2 linked regions of the Coturnix japonica genome follow. The protein of the gene in region 2 interacts with the protein of the main gene of each other region in a pairwise test. Links are inferred from orthologs where the notes say so. Each region holds a gene or a part of one and is shown on either strand. Other genes may lie near its edges.

Region 1 (3,820 bases), on a different chromosome or scaffold from region 2:
ATGACAGCAGCCAAGCGTCAGACAGTGAGATGAAAAACAGTCTGCTCAGAAGCAGACCTTCTGACTGTCTCCTGTCTCTGTGCAATATTTTATCTAATTAGCAGAATCTGTAGGGCCTGTAGATTGTGGAGGTCCCTTGTGTCTGATCTGCAATCCCTATGCAGCTACAGAGACAGACTGGATGGATTTCTGGAAAAAAATAAGGGCAAGGTTTATGAGAGAAAGCCTCCTGAGAGCTCTTCTTACATCTTTTAGAGTTTTATCCTTGTCTTGACATAAAGAGACCTCCAAAGCTACCCAGGATAACCCAATGGAGAGAGTTGTTACTAGACTTATGCAGCCTGACCCAGACACCAACAATCATCAGAAATGACCCAACAAAAAAAGGCAGATATTGCTGCAGTCCAGCCTGAAGCTCCCTGAAGCATGGAAGGGTCAAATGGTTCAGAGGGATGGACTTGCCTGTGTGATGCGGTTGTGATTTGCCAGGAACATAGAGAGGTTCTGGGACTCCTGGATGGACTGCGGGTCTGCCATCTTCCGCAGAAACTGGGCAGCTCTGAATGGGAAAAATCCACCATCACCATGAACTGTTGCCCAATGCCAGGCTCTCGCCACCCATCCTCCTCACTTCACCTGCAGCTGCAGAGCAGCAGCCGCAGAGCTCACCTGCAGCAGAGCCTTCCCCTTTCCTCATTTTACCAACAGGGAACTGAAACACACAGAAGCTTGGTCTTTTTCTTACAAAGAGACCACAACAGCACAGATAACCACCCTCCAGCCTCCCTGTATCTGCCAGATCCCATTGCAGGCAATGCCTTCGGCCAGACCAGGTGCAGGCTCAGCCCTGCTTCTTGCCTCTCACCTCTTGTAAGCCGAGTGGTCGTTCTTCACACTGCACTTCATATTCTTCAGCTCATCTAGTACTGCAAACATGTTGATGAACTTGCCCAGGGTGAGGAGATAGGCCTCAGAGACAAAGTCCTTCCTCCGCTCTGCATGGCACAGGCGCTTCACCTCGCTGCAGAACCGCTCGATAGCCTTGCGCTGGAAGGCAGTGGGATAGGGTCAGCACATGCACACCACCACCCCTACAGCCACCATCCCCTACCTTCCCCTGGTGGGATGGCAGCTTCAGGGTCTCACTCAGTTATTGCCATGAAATGAGGCAGCATTACAGACCCCTGCAACAAATGTCCTCCATGCTGGAGGGGAAGAGGAGATTTGAATCCTCTGCCCAGCCTGCCTGGATAGCAGTGCTGTCTGCCAAATAACGCTTTGGCTCTTTAGGTGGAGAATTAAGATCTCATGGGACATGAAACCCAAAGGCGGTAGTAAAACCCAGTTGCAGCCAGTTGTAAATGCAAGCAGTGACATAGGGAGCTCCCTTGAGCCTACAGCAGCTCTGTTTTTCTATGTTGTCATTACTCTGCTGGGATCTGAGTATGTTATTTTCTCAAGTGTCTCATATGTGGCATCTGTTAGCTTTGGTGTTTGACTCTGTGACATAGCAGAGTGAGCTATGCTGGCCCTGCTAAAGAATCTCAAACCAAAGACATTATTTTTGTCAACTACTTTGACCACATACCTGAAAATACATGAACTTCATAAGCTTGGTCACTTCTGGCTCCAGAACTTCTACTGTCTTCTCATAAATCTCCACTCGGTTTGGCTGTTCATTACATTTCACCTGCAAAGACAAATGATGATTGTCAGCATTAAAAATATGCAGAAATATGTTTTCCAAGCTCCACAGAAGTCCTGCAAACCCTTTTATCAGTAGGGTTAATGCAAGTGTGCTGCATCTGCCTGCAGTGTTGTCAGCCTGCACTTCTGAAGTGATGAAGTGAGCTCTCATGTGGCAGAGCTTTGTGTTGGAGGCTGAATCACAGCTCAGTGGACCATGTGGGCAACCTTAGTCATGCCTGTAGGTGTCTGAAGGACAGAACCACCAAAATTCAGGTTGGAGAAGGACTGAAAAACATTTGAAACAGAACTAGAAGGGGAGAATGATTAAGCCTGGGACCTTCAGGTACACCAACAGCAGAACATTTGGTTTCTGTTTTCAACCATTCTACCCTCTTCAGTCTTTTCTTATTTTCTGTCTCCACCCCAAACTGACCCAAACTGATCCATTGAAGACAAAACCACGCATACCTGGGGGATGGCTCTTGAGCAGCTCCTCCACGTGTACAGCATCACGGCGTACTCATGGCCTTCTTCCAACATTTCATTCTGAAACACAGAGAGGTGTTGATAGGGCAAGGCACACACTGCAGTGTGGCATTGCTGGGCAGTGCCCAGGGACTCACCATGCTGGAGTGCACCGTTGCCTGCTCGATGTACCTGGCAATGCCGGTCACAAAGGCATTTCTGTCTTCAAAGTTTGTGTCAAAATTAGCCTATGGGTGAAATGGAGATGAGGATTAAAATATGCACAAGCTAGATGTTTGCTCACCTGATGCCGTGTGCTGTCAAATTGTTTCAGAAGTACAGGCAAGAAAACCCCCAGCAGGCACAGGGAGAAGCAGGAGGGATCTTAGGACATAGGGGTCATAATGAATTGGAGGTGCTGAAAATCACTGCATCCCTAGGGATAAAGTAGATTAATATATGCAGTTTGCATATCGGAATCCCACGCGTTCATTAGAGGAAACCCTGCAGATGATGGATGTGAAGATGTGGCCATTGAGACTGACAAAGCTTTCTAAAATCAAGCCAAGCCAGTGGGGATCATTTATACAGAACTGTAGCCACACCAGTGAGCAGAACTGTAGCAAGTATATGAAGGATTTCAGTCTTTTAACCTCATTAACTTCTATTTGTGCCCTGGCTGCTAGGGGAAGGCCACATCCTGTCAGCAGGAATTGCAAAGGATAAACATAGAAAGAGTAGGGAAAGAAATGTCTGGGAAACATAAATGTGAGCGTCAGCACTCAGTGCTTAGTGCTAGTGCTTCTATTGCAAGCTGATGCTTTGGGGGAAACAGTTGTTGTGAAACCTGAGCTACTGCTTTGCATGTAGATATGGCAGTAAGAAAGTGCAAAGCAAGGCAGGGGGTGAAAGCACAGCGCCTCCACCTCATTCACATGCTTTAGGCTTGGGCAGTTTCCTCTGCGCAGGCACCCTGATGCTATCTGCTGCACAGCAGAGCACATATAAGTCCCAAGCGCACAGAGCAATGTCATCAGCATTGCAGTGACTGTGTTCACCTCAATAACTGACTTCCTGAGCAGCTGAGCCGGGAGCACAAAGCTGTAGCCATAGAGCTGCTTTTCTTTGTGCATCCATGACCCTAATGTGCAGCAAACCTGAGGCTGCAAATGCATTCTCAAGTAGCAGGAAGAGTGCTACCCCTAAAGCAGGTGTGATGAGGAACCAGGTTTGGCCAGTACTTCCAGATTCAGTTTTGTCATTGTTTCAGTGAGGTTTACAGGCCAAGCTGAGAGCACACATGTGGCCATGAAGCACAAGTAAAGCTGTGCCACTGGGCAGGACATTGAGCCTCCCATGGGCCACAGGCCAGCAGAGGGTAAAAATTACTTTGTGAAGATAGATGTTAAAATGTTACTAAGATTTTCCAGGGAGAGATGAAAGTTGAACAGCCCAGAAATGCCTTTGGGTCTGATAACCCAGGGTGATACCAATGCTACTGAACAAGCCCTCAGTCTGACCTGCTGAAAGAGATACTGTAACTCCAGCACCCTGCACACACAGCACAGCAATCACCGTTGGGTTGCATTTATGCATGACCACGGTAAGGCGTGCAGACAGGAGTGGCAGGATGGAGAAAGTAACCCCATGTTATATTTAACCCTGG
Region 2 (3,820 bases):
ACATAAAACATTCAATTTTCAGGGTTTCTCCCCCAAAGATTGAGTATTATTATACTGTTATTAAACAAAACCATTTAGTTAGCAGTGAAAGAACTTGTCAACATATTTAACAGGAACACAGATTCTTATGACTGCTGAAAAACCAAAAAATAAGGATTTTTTTAAATTTATTTTTTAAAGAGGACAGTACTGAAATAAAGGCAGTAAATATTGAGTGCATAACAGCTGATACAATTAACCCCAGGAGAGCAAATTAAACTTTTCTTTTAATCACAAACAACATTGCACCTATTATTCAAAGCTAAATGGATTTTTCCACTTCTGTGTTTGTTTGTTGTTTTTTTTTTAATTTTAAACCCTAAATATTTGTAGAAAACATGACAAAAAAGAAAGCTACAAAGGTCTTCCTTGAACACAAGGCTTGTTCAAACAATCAAAGGCTTCTTTTGAGTAACTTATTCCATTACACATCTTTGGTGTAACAGTTTCCTAATAAACAAAACAAAAAAATCCTTGGTGGTAAATTAAAAAAAAATAAAAATAATATAAATAAATAAATAAAAATCAGGTGAACCAAATACAAAAATGAACATTAAATTACAGAAAAACTTATTTCTTAAAAACAAATGTTAAGAAGAATTCAGCAACATACATGAAACATTAAAAATTATTATGTATAGATACAGTCCATTTTGTAACCTACGTTTTAGGTTACTGATTTCTATGAAACCTTTAGAAAGGCAACAAAAATTTTTTTTAGTTCTGTTTGAAATTTTTAAAGGATAATTATGTAGAGAAAACAGATGCCGAGCTTTTATTTTAATCGAAGGAAAACGTAAAGATTCCAGTGACATAGTAACAGGGTTTTGACTTAATAATCCATACTCATTTGTTTTCTGGCAAATTACTAGAAATTAGTAAGTGAACAAGCACTATTTTGGATATGAGATAAGGTTGGTCCAATTATGTGTTTTAAGGAATCTAGGCCAAGAAGCAGACTACAAGTAAAATCCTGCCAAAACCAGAAGTAAACGCAGGGTTCTAAGCAGAAAATAGACAAAATAAATTTCTAATTAAAGTAACTACAGCAGCCTAGCATTTCACTTGCCCCTTAGAGGTAACAAGAGGGAGTGGGATGAAGAACCTACCCTAAAGCTACTGCTCTAAAACAACTCCAGAGCTGAGCAATTATAAGCACTTGTCCCTCTGCAGAATTTTCCACTGCTTCAACACAGGCTTTTGTAAACTGCTCCATATGAGGTACATTAGAGTTCACAGTATTCTTCCTCTTTGTAGCAACAAAACTCAATAAAACAACTTCCACATTTCCCCCACATAATGAGGGCCACATGCACTCCAGTGAACTCTCACCAGGTATTTGATAATCTAAGTCACTATTATCTTTGGAGAGTTTTCTTGACCTTCAAGTGCCTTAACCAGGCCTTCAGTTTATCCTACAGTGCTGCTTCTAAACAAACGTAAGCACGGGAGAAAAATACAAGACAGTGCAAGAATTACTTATCTGTTCTACAGCTGAAAAAATACCTCAGCATCTTTGAAGGAAATAATTCTTAGGCTCAATCAAGAAACTACTCTACTTTGTATTAAGGCATCTCTGAACTGCAAACCAGCAGGTAATTCCTTACAAAGGACTGTCCCTATGAAGGACAGAATTGGGGTATAGAGGAGGGTTGTGACAAAAAGAAAGCCATTAAAAAAAAACCCACAGCCTTCAAACTAGAAGGCTGTCTATCACCTAAGAACTGCTCACAGATAACTTTTTCCTACCCTGCCTCAGTTGTAAAAAATAAAAACCTCAGAAGGCATTTTTCTTTAATACCAATCTCCAGGACTAACATACCTACTAAATTTCTTGGGACTTGTATGACATCTTCAGCAAACTCAAGGTAACTTCTTGCCTTTTTCACTGCATCTTGATCCTAAAACACAAAGGGTATGTAAGAGAAATGAGATGGGTTTTCCCAAAGCGTTTGTGTTTATTGTTTTTTTTAAACTCATATCATCTGAAGGATTAACGAAGGGATCTTACCTCTCCGTAAATATGGAATGTGCAGGTATCTTCATCAAGATCAATGGCAGTCACTCCAGGAACTTTTCTGGCTTGCTGAATATTAGCACCATGAGTGCCAATAGCCAAACCCATTAAGTCTTCACGAACAACAAATTGTTCATGAAATCGTGATGCAAGTTGTCTAGAACTCTGAAAGGAATCCAGATATTTATAGCTGTAGCAATTAGACAGATCAATACAATGAGAATAGGAAAAGAAAGAGAAGCTAGTGTAGTCATCATAGCAGTTTTACCTTTCCTACTCTGAGCTACAATAGAAAAATACAGTAGCAGACATTCAAAGGTCTATGGCACAGAAAGGAGTTTATTTGATCAAAACAATGAACCATTAATAATATTGCAATAAAGCCAACTCCATTCACTAAATATTTGTTCAGTACATGGATATGTGCAGTATATTTATACATCAATTAGCTTTTCAACAGAAATTACGCATACAGTTTTTAGTACCTGAAATCTTTGAGTTTGGCTGGAATTGTCTTTATAGTTATTAACAGAAACATGGCAAATATCAGCCAACTGATATTATAATCATAGATATTTATCTCACAATAAGCTTCACTAAAGTATGGTGCAGGTAGAAAAAAGGCTTTCTAAGCAGAGTTGAACAAAATTCTTCAGCTTTTCACAGCAGAAAAAAGGTTCATGCTTAGAACAGAAGCAAGAATCCCAGATTAGTTAGGAATGGGAATTAAAGACAGCAGTTGCTGGTGCACACCTCTGTGGGGACACAGAGAATGAGCTCTGAAAAGGCTGCTGTTCTTCCCACCTCTGAAATAATACTCTGCATTTCATGAGGTAAATTGCCCACATGATTGCCAGTTCTGGAAGAAGACAAAAATGAATTACTGAGAACTACAGTGGGAGTGCTCAAGAAGGAAAAAAAAAATCAATGAGAAGAAACTGTTTCCTTCTTGGTCTTGAGAATATTAACATCTAAACTATGTTGGCTTACAGCTCTCAAATACAGAAATCAGGAGACTAACAAGAGTAACAGAAACACTTCCTGCAAGCAGTTGTGAGTAACACCTTCTGGATACAAGAGGTTTGAACTACCACACCACATCCCACTTAGGGCTAAAACCACAGCAGATCTAATGCTTTCTGGGGAGCAGGGTGGGGAATAATGAAATCTGGCTTAAAAACAACAGAGTTGGTATGCATCCATATAAAACCTACTGCTCAAAGTTTTATCACTCTTCTAGTTCTTGCTGATGAATCTAAAAAGAAGTTTTAGGAAATGCTGCTATATTTTTCTGATTATATATTTTATATATATATATATATATATTCTGATTTGTAGATGGGAGAAAAATATACAAAGACAGGTTAATTCTCTAATTTCCTATTCTACTCCTTCCTTCCCCCCCACCATGGATGAGTCAAACTTCTTGCCAGTCAGCACCCACTCTCCAGTTGCAGAAATATCAGAAGTTTTATCTGCTCTAAGATAATTTTATCTAGAGACAAACCAATCCATTTGTACATACTGACAACAGTCTCACCCCCTCCTATAGATCCACCTCTCATTTTCATATAATCTTTCGAGTTAGAAGGGACCTTTAAAGGCCATCTAGTCCAACTCCCCTGCACCTAACAAGGGTATCAACAGCTACATCAGGTGCCCAAACCCTGATGAGGCTTCCACCACTTCTCTGGGGGCAACCTCTTCCAGTGCCTCACCAGCATTATTTTAAAAATTTTCTTCCTTATATCCAATCTAAATCTC

Evidence for each region.
Region 1: the proteins of FMR1 (region 2) and CYFIP2 interact in a two-hybrid assay, tested with the Homo sapiens proteins (2 studies listed by BioGRID and IntAct). The link is inferred for Coturnix japonica from reciprocal best matches to the Homo sapiens genes FMR1 and CYFIP2.

Annotation. Positions count from the first base shown.
Region 1 is NC_029528.1:13,113,760-13,117,579, forward strand, and holds part of CYFIP2 (cytoplasmic FMR1-interacting protein 2), read right to left. Parts: intron 2,403-3,820; coding exon 2,313-2,402; intron 2,236-2,312; coding exon 2,158-2,235; intron 1,691-2,157; coding exon 1,589-1,690; intron 1,048-1,588; coding exon 866-1,047; intron 560-865; coding exon 463-559; intron 1-462. UniProt on the Homo sapiens protein: Involved in T-cell adhesion and p53/TP53-dependent induction of apoptosis. Does not bind RNA. As component of the WAVE1 complex, required for BDNF-NTRK2 endocytic trafficking and signaling from early endosomes.
Region 2 is NC_029519.1:17,282,067-17,285,886, forward strand, and holds part of FMR1 (synaptic functional regulator FMR1), read right to left. Parts: intron 2,222-3,820; coding exon 2,051-2,221; intron 1,941-2,050; coding exon 1,862-1,940; intron 1-1,861.